Anolis sagrei: one gene and its partner. The protein of the gene in region 1 interacts with the protein of each later gene in a pairwise test. Links are inferred from orthologs where the notes say so. Each region holds a gene or a part of one and is shown in the gene's direction. Other genes may lie near its edges.

Region 1 (7,908 bases):
ATAAGGGGGAATACATTCAGACAGGTAAACCGGGCCGGAACCGTATAGGGTTTTGTAGGTTAAAACCAGCATTTTGAATTGTGCTCGGAAGCTAATTGGCAGTCAGTGGAGCTGGTATAACAAAGGAATTGTGCGCTCTCTGTACCCTGCTCCGGTTAGTAATCTGGCTGCCGAACGTTGGACTAATTTCAGCTTCTGGGCAGTCTTCAGAGGCAACCCCACGTATAGAGCGTTGCAGCAGTCAATATGGGATGTAACCAGAGCGTGGACCACCGTGGCCAAGTCAGACTTCCCAAGGTACGGGCGCAGCTGGCGCACAAGCTTTAATTGTGCAAAAGCTTAATTATACAGTTCAGGTTTCAATGAAAATTAAATTTCAAGATTTTTAAATATCACGTTATGTCTTTGGCAACAGAACTTTTGACTGCTCTGCAAGTCCACCACACATGGTAAAAAGATCCCATATGTTGTTTATTCTTCAAACATTAATTAATTTATTATTTATTTATTTGCTTTATTTCTATACCGCGTTTCTCAACCAAATTAGGTGACTCAATGCGGTTTACACAATATTAATTAACACAGCAATAACAATTAAAACTCAGCATACACAATAGCAAACATACAACACTCATACATAGTGCCTCGATCACAAACAAGATCCAGTCTCATATCCTTATGCCGTTCCTATGTTCAGTTTACCGTCATCCTGTATTCAATTGCGCTAATTAGCCAAACGCTTGCTCAAAGAGCCAGGTTTTGAGCTTCTTCCGAAACGCCAGCAGCGAAGGGGCCTGTCTGATGTCATTGCGTAGGGCATTCCATAACCGAGGGGCCACCACCGAGAAGGCCCTGTCTCTCGTTCCCGCCAACCGTGCCTGCGACGCAGGCGGAACCGAGAGCAGGGTCTCCCCGGACGATCTTAATGTCCATGTCGGTTCATAGGTGGAGATGCGTTCGGAGAGGTAGGTGGGGCCAGAACCGTTTAGGGCTTTGTAGGCTAGCGCCAGCACCTTGAATTGTGCCCGGTAGGAAATTGGCAGCCAGTGGAGCTGGCTCAACAGAGGAGTGGTATGCTCCCTGAGAGCTGCTCCTGTTAGCAACCTGGCTGCCGAGCGCTGGACCATCTGAAGCTTCCGGGCAGTCTTCAAGGGCAGCCCCACGTAAAGCGCGTTGCAGTAATCTATACGGGATGTGACCAGAGCGTGGACTACCGTGGCCAAGTCAGACTTCCCGAGGTACGGGCGCAGCTGGCGCACGAGCCGGAGCTGTGCAAATGCTCCCCTGGCCACCGCCGAGACCTGAGGCTCCAGGCTCAGCGATGAATCCAGGGTCACACCCAAGCTGCGAACCTGCGTCTTCAGGGGGAGTGTAACCCCGTCCAACACAGGCTGTAACCCTATGCCCCGTTCGGCCTTTCGACTGACCAGGAGTGCCTCTGTCTTGTCTGGATTCAATTTCAATTTGTTCACCCTCATCCAGTCCGACACAGCGGCCAAGCACCGGTTCAGGACCTGAACAGCCTCCTTAGAAGTAGGTGGGAAGGAGTGACAGAGTTGGACATCATCTGCGTACAGATAACACCGCACCCCGAAACTCCGGATGATCTCTCCCAACGGCTTCATGTAGATGTTAAACAACATGGGGGACAGTATTGAACCCTGCGGGACCCCACAAAACAATGGTTGTGAGGACGAGCAGCTGTCCCCCATCAACACCTTCTGGGTACGACCCTCTAGGAAGGACCTGAGCCACTGTAAAACAGTGCCACCAAGGCCCATTCCCGCGAGGCGTCCCAGAAGGATACCGTGGTCGACGGTATCGAAGGCCGCTGAGAGATCCAGCAGGACCAACAGGGACTCACTCCCCCTGTCGAGCTCCCTGCGGAGATCATCCACTAAGGCGACCAGGGCTGTCTCGGTACCATGTCCTGGCCTAAAACCAGACTGTGCCGGATCCAGATAATCCGTGTCTACCAAGAATACCTGGAGTTGTGAGGCCACCACACGTTCCAGGACTTTGCTCAAAAAGGGAAGATTGGAAACAGGCCGATAGTTGACGAATTGAGTGGGGTCTAGTGATGGTTTTTTCAACAGCGGTTTTATTACAGCTTGTTTTAAGCTGGCTGGAATTTTGCCTTCCCGAAGGGAGGCATTAACCACCACCTCCACCCACTCGGCCAATCCCCCTCTGGCCTCCTTTAGAAGCCAGGATGGGCAGGGGTCTAGGATGCATGTGGTAGCTCTCATTCCTCCAAGTATCTTGTCCACATCCTCGGGTTTCACCAATTGAAATGAATCCATCAAAATCGGACAAGCAGATGCTCGTGTTACATCCTCAGAGACTGCCGTTAACGTGGTATCCAGGCCAGAGCGGATCAAAGCGACTTTGTCCGCAAAGAACCGAGCAAATGCTTCACAGCGGGCCGTCGAGTTGTCAGGGTTCCCATCCGGAATGGTGGGGTTCAATAGCCCTCTGACAACTCGAAACAGCTCCGCCGGATGGTTCTTTGCGGACGCAATATTGGCCGCAAAGAAGGCTTTCTTTGCCGCCTTTATTGCCACGGCGTATGCCCTTAGTAGGGCAACAAACCGTGTTCGATTTAACTCGCTCGGGTCCGAACGCCACACGCGCTCTAGTCTCCTCTTCCTTCGCTTCATCGCTGCCAGCTCCTCGTTGAACCAAGGTGCTGGTTTAGCTCGGCTACTTGAGAGGGGACGTTCCGGAACAATCGTGTTTATGGCCCTAGTCATCTCCCCATTCCAGAGAGACACCAGGGCTTCAACAGGATCACCAACCGAGGTGGCAGGAAAATCCCCAAGAGCCATCAGGAATCCATTCGGATCCATAAGCCTCCTGGGGCGGACCATCTTAATGGGTCCCCCACCTCTGCAGAGGTTGGGAGGTGTGGTGAGTCTAAATCTGACCAGATAGTGGTCGGTCCATGGCAACGGAGAAGTGGATAACTCCTCGACACCGCCACCTTGCTCCCATCCCTGACAGAAAACCAGATCCAATGTGTGTCCCGCACAGTGGGTGGGCCAGATACTCGTTGGGACAGCCCCATGGTTGCCATGGATGACATGAAGTCCTGAGCCGCTCCTCCTAGTGTAGTCTCGGCATGTACATTGAAGTCCCCCAGTACAAGAAGCCGTTGAGACTCCAATGCCAGGCTCGAGACCACCCCCGCTAGCTCAGGTAGGGAGACCGTAGTAATTAGATCCTCTATGCATTTTAGCACACATTAAATGTGTTAAATGCCAACAATTAGTCAATTTATAGATATTTTTATTCAGATCATATTATCAGAGTATGATCCTCCAGATATTTTAGACTAAAACAATGTTTATACCATCTTTTCTTACTACAGGATATAAGATGTATTAATTAGGTTTGATGGAAGTTATAGTCCCAAATTTTCAGTTTGTTTCAAAGGAAAGCGGGGGGCAGCTGCTGAAATTTCTCCATCAGTATGGCTGTTGTTAACTACCATCTGCTTTGACTTATGGTGATCCTATGAATGAGATGTCTCAATTTAACTCTATTAATCCTGCACAAGGTTAGCCACCCTGCACAGCTCTTGCAGATTCGGGACATGTCTTCCTTGACTGAGTCTATCAATTTGTGATACAGGTTTCCTCATTTACTGCCTTCTACTTTTCATTGTTGTGAGTCATGTATTCTTCAGATACGGCAATCTCAGTTTAGGGGGCTTCTATACCAGGCATGAGCAAATGGGCCCTCCAGATGTTTTGGACTTCAGCTGGCTGTTCGGAATTGTGGGAGTTGAAGTCCACAATAATGTATGCAGATCCCAGTATGGTGGCCTTTTGCAGCTGACAGATGGTAATTTTGTCAGTGCCGACTGTGTTTAAGTGCAGGCCAAGGTCTTTAGGCACGGCACCCAGTGTGCCAATCACCACTGGGACCACCATGACTGGCTTGTGCCCAAGTCTTTGCAGTTCAGTCTTTAAATCCTCATGTCAGCTTTTCCAGTTGTTTCTCCAATCCTGCTGTCGCCTGGGATTGCAACATCGATGACCCATAACATGATCGTGAGGTCGGAGTATTGTGCTCCAAACTCTTGTCATTATTATATTTTTACTGACACAAAAACACAGAATGTCACAGCAAACGAGATCTATATGCTGGATTTCGAATCACAAAATCACAAGTTGAACACTTCCCAAGCTTTATTATATTATTATAATACATTATATCATTATATTAATATTATATAATGATTATAATATGATATATTATATCATTATATTACAATTTTATAATATATATAATTATTATATTATGATACATTATAATTTTATGATATTATAATAATATATATCATTTATTATTATGATTATTCTTCTCCATTTGCTTCTGACACTAAAAATAAATGATTAATATATATCTCCCACGAAGTTTCCACCTGGCCTGGGCAAACTTGGGCTCTCCGGGTGTTTGGACTTCAATTCCCACCATTCCTAAGAGGCCCCTTCCTTTTCCCCCTCAGCCGCTTAAGCTGAGGAAAGGAAGGAGCCTGAGGCTGTTAGGAATTGTGGGAATTGAAGTCCAAAACGCCAAAGAGGACCCACGTTTGCCCCGGCCTGTATCCCACCACACAACGCACCAGAGAGTAACTAACTACGCCACTGCGAGCAGCCGAAAAGTTTTTTTCTGCGCAGGCGCAGAGCATCCGCCCGCCTGACAATGCCAGCGGGGGCTTTCCGCCCCAGCCGCGCGTGCGCAGTGACCTCGGCACCTCCGAGGCGCGGGGAGGGGGGGGAGCCTTTTGTTCCTCTCCGTTGTGCACATGCGCGCCTGCGCCTCTCTCTCTCTTTCTCTCTTACCAACCCCGCTCCCCTTTTTTCTAGCAACTTCCCCGACCCCTGACGTCATCACCAGGCGCCGTAGTAGCCGAGCCGGACTGTTTCCGTTGAACTCTGGGAGAGAAAGCTGAGTCGCGCGTCGGGGTGTGCGCGAGGGAAGAGGAGGAGGAGGAGGAAGGGGGCCGAGGAGGGGAAGAAGAAGAAGGCGACGAAGAGGAGGAAGGGAGGGAGGGTCGGCGTTACCCGGCATTCTCCGCGCGGCCTGGCTTTAACGAGCGGAGGCGGCTTCTCCTCCGTCTGTCGGCCCGCGCGCCATGTCTGAGGGCGGCGAGAGCCCCCAGGGCCCCGGCGAGAGCCATCCCGCCCCTGCCGCCGCCGCCGCCACTGAGCCGCGGATCATTAAAGTCACCGTGAAGACCCCGAAGGAGAAGGAGGAATTCGCCGTGCCGGAGACCAGCAGCATCCGGCAGGTGAGAGGAGAGAGAGAGAGAGAGAGCCAGCTAAGGAGGGAGGGAGGGGCGTGGCTGGTGCCTCAGAGCGGAGTGTGTGCCTTGTGTGAAGGGGTATTTTGTGTGTGTGTGTGTGTGTGTATGGAACCGGCGACCATGTTCTCTCTCCCTTCCTCCTCGCGCCGCTGGCTTCCGCGCGGGGCCTTTGCCTCGTCACCGGCCTCCGAAGTGCTGACGCGGGAGGAGCAATTGCCTCATCAGAGAGAGGGAGGGAGGGAGGCCTCAATCTCTACACTGGGGAATGGACGCGGCTCGGCACCGCTTTCAACTCCCGGGGCTCCGTGCTGTGGACTCGTCCGAGTTGTGGTCGGGTGAGGCGCCCCACTCTGAGGCAGAGAAGGCTCCAACTCCCATGATCCCACAATGTGCGGCCTACTGTATTAATTTTAGTGTGTTGACCAGGCATGGGCTAACTTGAGCCCTCCAGGCGTTTTGGACCAATCCTAAAAGCCTCGGGCCTCTTCCTTTCCATTCCTAACAGCCTCAGACCCCTTCCTTTCCATTTCTAACAGCCCCAGACCCCTTCCTTTTCATTCCTAACAGCTTCAGACCCCTTCCTTTTCATTCCTAACAGCTTCAGACCCCTTCCTTTTCATTCCTAACAGCCTCAGACCCCTTCCTTTCCATTCCTAACAGCTTCAGACCCCTTCCTTTTCATTCCTAACAGCCTCAGACCCCTTCCTTTCCATTTCCAACAGCCTCAGACCCCTTCCTTTTCATTCCTAACAGCTTCAGTCCCCTTCCTTTCCATTCCTAACAGCCTCAAACCCCTTCCTTTCCATTCCTAACAGCTCCAGACCCCTTCCTTTTCATTCCTAAACAGCCTCAGACCCCATCCTTTCCATTCCTAACAGCCTCACACCCCTTCCTTTCCATTTCTTTATTTTAAAATAATTTTTATTTAGATCCCCCCCCCCCAAAAACACAAAGTTATGGTAAAAATATCAAAGAGCTTCAGATAGAGATATGTATATAAAAGTAGAAGTGTGGATTGGATTAGGAATAATAGTGTTTAAAGGGAAAAGAGAAAGGTTAAAGGTCGAGTAAAGTTAGGGCTGGGGGGGGAGGGGGTATGAAATCGTGAGTATGAAAGATGTAGAAATGGATAGAATAAAATAAATAAGAATGTAGATTTTCAGACTTCCCAGTATCTTCTATGAGGTTCTTTCCCTTTCCTTTCTTTTTTCTTTATTTTTTCTTTTCTTTTTCTCCCTTTCTTCGTTTTGTCCATTGCTTTCTTGTTTTTCTTAAATAAGTATTTTCACATTCCTTTTTGTTAAGTATGCTGTAACTTGTTTCCAGTCTGTCTTGTTCCTTGAAGTGCTATTTCTAACAACCTCGGGCCCTCCCTTTCCATTCCTAACAGCCTCGGACCCCTTCCTTTCCATTCCTAACAGCCACGAGCCACATCTTTTGCGTAATGGTGGAAGTTGAAGTCCAAAACTCCTGGAGGGCCCAAGTTGGCCCATACCTGATGTAGACAGAGGCACTCTCCTCCCTCTGTCGTTTTCACTTGGGTATGAATGAGTGGCACCAGGGTGACATTGTTCAAGGGAGCTACTCCCGAGTAAAAGCAGGGCCCATGAAAAAGCCTAAAGAGCATAATATTTATTATTTATTCAACTCATTTCTGCCCCACCTCTCTCACCCAAAGGGGACTCAAGGCGGCTTACAACTAAGGCAAAAAACCCCCAGCAATAACAATAAAACTTTAAAACACTTAAAAACAATTAACATTAAGCAATAATACACATAAAACAGCATACAAATTTTAAAAAGCATATAAAGTACATTGTTCTCTTCATACAAAGCCCTGCTCATAATCCTTAATCCAGACTGTGTTGAAACTGTAGAAACTTATTCTTCAAACGCTTGTGCGCAGAGCCAGGTCTTCAGCTTTTTTCATTTAATACTCTTCCAGGGCTTTTTTTGTTTTGTTTTGTTTTGTTTTTGGTGTTGGCATTCATTTGTTTTTATATAACATTCTAATTTGTGGATTTTGTCCAACAGTGAGCATGAAGAAATCGCTTACCTACTTTGTGCCTCCACTGATAGGCATTCGACTGCTCCACAGGCCCAGAAAGTTTGCTATAAAGGGGATTATTCTAGATCCCCCACCCCCATTTCCTTTATGTTTTAAAATGAGATAGCATTTGTAGAGCTAACGGGATGAAAAACACCTGGTGCTGGAATCGCAAAATGACCGCAAAGAAGGGTTGCCTTTGTCTAGAGGAGGACACAAAGGAGCCAGGCGGACAGGGAGAGAGACCAGCTAGCTTCAGTGGGAGGGTCGCCATGATTTCAAATCTGGCAGGCTTGGGATAGGTTGATCATCCCTTACCCCAAATGCTCCAACATCTACAGTTGTCCACAAGGGGGGCTGAGATGGCACACTTTTGCTTTCTGGTGATTCGGTGTACACAAACTTGGTTCATGCACCAAATTATGCAAAATATTATGTAAAAATTACTTTCAAGCTATGTGTTAGAAGATGTGCATGAAATATAAATGAGTTTTGTTTATAGATTTGGGTCTCATCTCCCAAGAAATCTCATTATGTACGTAAGTAA
Region 2 (7,203 bases), on another chromosome or scaffold:
TCCTGGGCTTGCTTTATGTATACTGATTTGTTGGAAACTGCCTTGAGTCGCCAATTGGCTGAGAAAGATGGTATGCAAATACAGTAAATAAATAAATAAATAATAATAATAATAATAATTATTATTATTATTAGAAACACAACAAGGAGTCCACAGCAGACACTCTGCTGGCTGTTGAATTGGATCACACGTTGGACACTTCCCAAGTGTCTAGGACTGTGTGATGTATCGGCGAATAATGGGTGCAGATCCCAGTAAGGTGGCCTTTTGCAGCTGGCAGATGGTCATTTTGTCAGCGCCGATTGTGTTTAAGTGCAGGCCAAGGTCTTTAGGCACTGCACCCAGTGTGCCAATCACCACTGGGACCATCTTGACTGGCTTGTGCCAGAGTCTTTGTAGTTCGATCTTTAAATCCTCATATCGTGTCAGCTTATTATTATTATTATTATTATTACTATTACTATTATTATTATTTATGAGTCTACACTGCCATATAATTAAGTTCAAATCAGATCATCTTGATTTTATATGGCAGTGTGGAAGGGACCTCAGAAGGTTTAAATGGTTGAGTTGGGATCCGAACCCCAATCTCCAGACCAATGCTCAGACCACTAAAAGGTGAAATTATGATGGAAGCCATCATGTCTTCACAAAACATGGAGGCTGCCTTCTTCAGGCTATTTACTCCTGACTGGAGCCTCCAGTGGTGCAATGGGTTAAACCCTTGTGCTGGGAGGCCTGCTGACCAAAAGGTCGGCGGTTCGAATCCAGGGAGCAGGGTAAGTTCCCATCTGTCAGATCCAACTTCTCATGCAGGGGCATGAGAGAAGCCTCCCACAGGAAAGTAAAACATCCGGGCAACCTCTAGGCAACAACCTAGCAGACAGCCAATTCTCTCACACCAGAAACGACTTGCAGATTCTCAAGTTGCTCCTGGCACAAATAAAACCCCTCTCCATTACTATTGTCTCATTGAGGACCCAGAAACTAAACCAAATCTGCAAACACTATTCCAGATATAAACTAAAGCTAATATGGCAAGGGGAAGGAGCTTTAAGCGCTTTGTATAGCTGAATTTCGGTAAAATAACATTTCTGAAAGATAAGATGTCGAAGGAAGGAGTGAGTGTCTGCACTTCTGTGAGATTACCATTTTTTTTAAAAAAGGAGCTGCTCAAGGTTAAATTTGTTTATCTGTTTGACATCAAGAGGGCAGCTGCGCACCATGGATCAATTGATTTGCAGAGAAATAATTGTTCTCCCAGACAAAATCCAATATATAGTGTACGCATTTTTTTAAAAAAAAACTGCTTCAAGCCTCACTCAGTTCACCCTTCAGCATAGCCTTCCTTTTTATTAATTCTGAACATTTTTCCTGCCCTTCCTTCTTTCTATATATTCAAATCACATCCTATTCCCCCTGCCCCCCAACAGTCCAATCTATAATACATTTCCTGGCCCTGGTAGGGGAGGAGAAAGGAGAGGAGCTTCATGCATGCATTTAACTAATGATAATTTTAACAAACAGTATTTTGGACCACCCTGAGGGTAGATCCTGATCTTATAGGATGTTATTGTGCAAAGGATGGAGCAATGGGAGTTTGTTGTAAATAATAATAAAATAATAATAGGTTTGATTTATATCCCGCCCTCTCTCGCAGAAGGGACTCAGGGTGGCTTACAGCAAGTAACTGTTAAAACAATATCCAAAATATACTACATAGGTCAAATTAACATAGCTTAAAATAGAACTATTGCAATGACTGAAAACATATAAGAACAGAACATAACATAACAGCAACAACAAAAATAGCTGCTCTTGCTGGAATAAAAACATTACAAATATTAATATTTTACATATTATATATATATATATATATATATATATATATATATATGTGGGAGCCCCCGGTGGCGCAGTGGGTTAAACCCCTGTGCCGGCAGGACTGAAGACCGGCAGGTTGCAGGTTCGAATCCGGGGAGAGGCGGATGAGCTCCCTCTATCAGCTCCAGCTCCTCATGCGGGGACATGAGAGAAGCCTCCCACAAGGATGATAAAACATCAAAAATCATCTGGCGTCCCCTGGGCAACGTCCTTGCAGACAGCCAATTCTCTCACAACAGGATGCTCCTGCTCCTGACATGACAATATATATATTGTGTGTGTGTGTAAAATACTAGGTTATATATAATATATATTTATATAATATTTATATAGGATATATATGTAAAATGTTAGGTACATAGGATATATATATATATATATATATATATATGCACACACACACACACATATAATGTAATGTTATATATAGAATATATATATTTATATAATATTTATATAGGATATATATGTAAAATATTAGGTAGGTAAAGGTAAAGATTTTCCCCTGACATGAAGTCCAGTCGTGTCCGACTCTGGGGTGTGGTGCTCATCTCCATTTCTAAGTCGAAGAGCCGGCGTTGTCTGTAGACACCTCCAAAGTCATGCGGACAGTATGACTGCATGGAGCACCGTTACCTTCCCACCGGAGCGGTACCTATAGATCTACTCACATTTGCATGTTTTCGAACTGTTAGGTTGACAGAAGCTGGGGCTAACAGTGGAAGCTCACACTGCTACCCGGATTCGAACCTGCTTTAACCCACTGTGCCACCGGGGCTCTTTAAAATATTAGGTAGGATTTATATATATATATATATATATATATATATATATATATATAATATTTCTATAGAATAGATATGTAAAATATTACATAGGATATATATATATATATATATATATATATAATATGTGTATATATATATATAATATTTATATAGGATATATTTGTAAAATATTACATAGGATATATATATATATATATAGGAGATTTATATAGAATATATATATAATATTAGGTAGGATATATATATAATATTTATATAGGATATATATGTAAAATATTATGTAAGATATATATATGTATTTATATAATATTTATATAGGATGTATATGTAAAATATTACATAGGATATATATATCATATGTATATGTATAACATTTCTATAGGATATATATGTAAAATATTAGGTAGGATATATATAGTATATATATATATGTATTTTTCTAGGAGATTTATATAGGATATATATGTAAAATATTAGGTAGGATAAATATATATATAAATATATATATATAATATTTCTATAGGATAGATATGTAAAATATTACATAGGATATATATATAATATGTATATATATAATATTTATATAGAATATATATATATAATATTAGGTAGGGCATATATAGAATATATATATAATATTTCTATAGGATAGATATGTAAAATATTACATAGGAGATATATATATATATAGGAGATTTCTATAGGATATATATATATAATATTATGTAGGATATATATAAATATAATATTTCTATAGGATATATATGTAAATATTATGTAGGATATATATATCATATGTATTTATATAATATTTCTATAGGATGTATATGTAAAATATTACGTAGGATATATATATATATATATCATATGTATGTATTTATATAACATTTCTATAGCATATATATGTAAAATATCAGGTAGGATATATATATAGAGAGAGAGAGAGAGAGAGAGATTTATATAGGATATATGTATATATTAGGTAGGATATATATAGTATATATAGTATATATGTATATCTATAATATTAATATAGTATCTATATGTAAAATATTAGGATATATATATATGTAATATTTATATAGTATCTATATGTAAAATATTAGGTACATAGGATATATATATCTCTCTCTGTGTGAAGAAGGAAGACCAACGGGCTCCCCTTCCTCCTCTTGTTCTGCGTTGCTTCCCTCCATCTCCATTCAGCCAACCCTGGGCGAAAAAGTTTCTTTCAACTTTTCCAGCGATGGAATCCTCCTAAGGCAGGCCCCGCCCACATTCCTCCCCGCCCCTCCCCTCCTTTGATCGCCCTGCCCAATCCGGAGCCGAGTTGTGGAGACAACAGAGCGCGCCATTGGCCGGAGCAAGGGTTCGGAGACGCCGCCCCCTTCTCGGTCTTGTGAATGGAGAAGGGGAGAAAGGGGCGGGGCTAGAGAGAACGCTCAGCCATATAGGAGCCTTTTTTTCCCTCGCAGAGAGAGAGAGAGAGAGAGAGAGAAGGAGGAGGAGGAGGGAGGTCTCAGGGCGCATTCCTTCTCTGGATCTGGATCCCTGCGGAGGGGCCGAGGGAGCGATCGCCAGGCGGAGGGAGACTCCCAAGCGGCTTCCCTTGGAGCCTTTGCATTCAAAAGCGAGGAGAAGCTGCCGAGAAGTCCCGGAGGAGGAGGAGGAAGGGCGCTCTTGGGAGTGCGGGGCTTCTCCACGCGAGGAAACTTTTGGAGGTGGGTCTTCCAAGGGTGCCGAGAAGGAGAGACCGAGGGGAGACCTGCTTTGGCTTTGGAGAGGCGCCCTGGTGCTTCTCCCTCCTGGCGGGAGTCCAAACAGGCAGCGATCCGGTTTGGCTTCTTCTGGAAGGCTCCTCCTGCTGCTGAGTGGGCGATGCCTTCGGGGCCCTGAGTGGGAGAAGCAGCAGCACCATCCTCTGACAATCCTCCGGCATCCTCCTCCTCTTTGGCCTCTTCCCCATCCCCCAATGCTCAGGGCAGCAGCCATGGGCCTGTGGGGTCTGCTGGCCTTAGCTTGGCTGATGCCCCATGCCAGCCGTGGGCAGCCTTCTTCTTCTTCTTCGCAGGGCGAGAAGGGCATCTCGGTGCCGGACCACGGCTTCTGCCAGCCCATCTCCATCCCCTTGTGCACCGACATTGCCTACAACCAGACCATCCTGCCCAACCTGCTGGGCCACACCAGCCAGGAGGATGCCGGCCTGGAGGTGCACCAGTTCTACCCGCTGGTCAAGGTGCAGTGCTCCCCGGAGCTGCGCTTCTTCCTCTGCTCCATGTACGCCCCGGTCTGCACCGTCCTGGAGCAAGCCATCCCGCCCTGCCGCTCCCTCTGCGAGAGGGCCCGCCACGGCTGCGAGGCCCTCATGAACAAGTTTGGCTTCCAGTGGCCCGAGCGCCTGCGCTGTGAGAACTTCCCCGTCCACGGCGCTGGGGAGATCTGCGTGGGACAGAACACCTCCGACACCTCATCCTCCGGGGGAGGAGGGCGTGGAGCAGGCGTCGCCCCGGGGAGCCCTGCCACCGCCTCGTACCCCACAGAACACTTACCCGGACCCCCTGTTCACCCACTGCCTCCCACCACCGGTCACGCCACCTTCACCTTCTCCTGTCCCCGGCAGCTCAAGGTGCCCCCGTACCTGGGCTACCGCTTCCTAGGTGAGCGGGATTGTGGCGCCCCATGCGATCCTGACCTGCCCAACGGAGGACTCATGTACTTCAAGCAGGCCGAGGTCCGCTTTGCCCGCCTGCTCGTGGGCATCTGGTCGGTGCTTTGCTGCGCTTCCACGCTCTTCACCGTCTTGACTTACTTGGTGGACATGCGGCGCTTCAGCTACCCCGAACGGCCCATCATCTTCCTCTCTGGCTGCTACTTCATGGTGGCTGTGGCCTATGTGGCTGGCTTCCTGCTAGAGGACCGTGTGGTGTGCGTGGAGCGCTTCTCGGAGGATGGCTTCCGGACAGTGGTGCAGGGCACCAAGAAGGAGGGCTGCACCATCCTCTTCATGATCCTCTACTTCTTTGGCATGGCCAGCTCCATCTGGTGGGTCATCCTCTCACTCACCTGGTTCCTGGCGGCAGGCATGAAGTGGGGCCACGAGGCCATTGAGGCCAACTCCCAGTACTTCCACTTGGCCGCCTGGGCTGTGCCAGCCATCAAGACCATCACCATCCTGGCCATGGGGCAGGTGGATGGAGACGTCCTCAGCGGGGTGTGCTATGTGGGCCTCTACAGCGTGGACGCCCTGCGGGGCTTCGTCCTGGCCCCACTCTTCGTCTACCTCTTCATTGGCACCTCCTTCCTGCTGGCCGGCTTTGTCTCCCTCTTCCGCATCCGGACCATCATGAAGCACGACGGCACCAAGACTGAGAAGCTGGAGAAGCTGATGGTGCGTATCGGGGTCTTCAGCGTCCTCTACACCGTGCCGGCCACCATCGTGCTGGCCTGCTACTTCTACGAGCAGGCCTTCCAGGACACCTGGGAGAAGACCTGGCTCCTGCAGAACTGCAAGAGCTACGCCATCACTTGCCCTGCCGCCAACTTCGCCCCCATGAGCCCTGACTTCACAGTCTTCCTCATCAAGTATCTCATGACCATGATTGTGGGCATCACCACCGGCTTCTGGATTTGGACTGGCAAGACCCTCCAGTCTTGGCGGCGCTTCTACCACAGACTCAGCACTGGGAGCAAAGGGGAGACGGCAGTATGAGACCTAGACTTGTACTCCTATAGTTTGCCGGTCCTTTCCCACACGGCTGCTCTTCCTTCTTGTGGCGAAGGCATTGCCTGAAGGAAAGAGGGAGGGTGGCTGTGATGTGTGTGTGTTTGCGTACGTGCAAAGGGGTCCGTTGTTCCTTCATACTCTGCCTTTTCCTCTTTCCAAGGGATGGTTGGATTTCTACGTGCGGCAAACATTCCAACTTGGTCTCTCTTTCTCTTCAAATGTTTACCTTGCTAGCCAAGTTGGAGAGTGCAGAATAAGTGTCCTTCTTAAGACTTTGCTCTTCAGAACAGGTCTGTTTCTGATCCTGTGAGAATGTCTTTACTTTCCTCTACTTGTTCCCCCCACCCTGCACCCCAACCCCTTTTAGAAAAGAAAAAGAAGAAAGACAAATAACTGAAAATGCGATTCAAAGAGAAATGTGGGAATTATGCCAACGGGAAAGGAGAGGGAGGGAGAAGTGAAGGTTTACAAACAAAACAGAAATTAAGTCACATTTCTGTCTCTGGGATGGCAAACTGGACTTCCAGTAACTCATCCTCTCAAAATATAGACCCAAGAGGTGCATTGCCTCCCTCCCAGCCCTTTGTACAAGGGACAGAAATGGAGCAGCTGCTCCGAAAATTTCCCCATCAGTAGCTATCCTGGTTGGGAGGATTCTGGATATTATAGGGGAGTGGGTGGTAGTCACATATGGATGACAATTTCCAGAACCCAAAGGCAGAGATGCTCTGAAAACTCTAGTTAAAATAATTATAATTACTGTTTTGGATGGCATCTCCAACTGGTGGCCATTGGATTCTGGCGGTT

The links.
Region 2: the proteins of UBQLN1 (region 1) and FZD7 interact in binary tests that used the Homo sapiens proteins (3 or more experiments, as listed by UniProt). The two-hybrid records come from large-scale screens. The link is inferred for Anolis sagrei from reciprocal best matches to the Homo sapiens genes UBQLN1 and FZD7.

The regions. Positions count from the first base shown.
Region 1 is NC_090022.1:228,697,203-228,705,110, reverse strand, and holds the start of UBQLN1 (ubiquilin-1), read left to right. Parts: upstream 1-4,814; 5' UTR 4,815-5,143; coding exon 5,144-5,299; intron 5,300-7,908. UniProt on the Homo sapiens protein: Plays an important role in the regulation of different protein degradation mechanisms and pathways including ubiquitin-proteasome system (UPS), autophagy and endoplasmic reticulum-associated protein degradation (ERAD) pathway.
Region 2 is NC_090021.1:165,057,258-165,064,460, forward strand, and holds the start of FZD7 (frizzled-7), read left to right. Parts: upstream 1-4,150; 5' UTR 4,151-4,644; coding exon 4,645-6,381; 3' UTR 6,382-7,203. UniProt on the Homo sapiens protein: Receptor for Wnt proteins.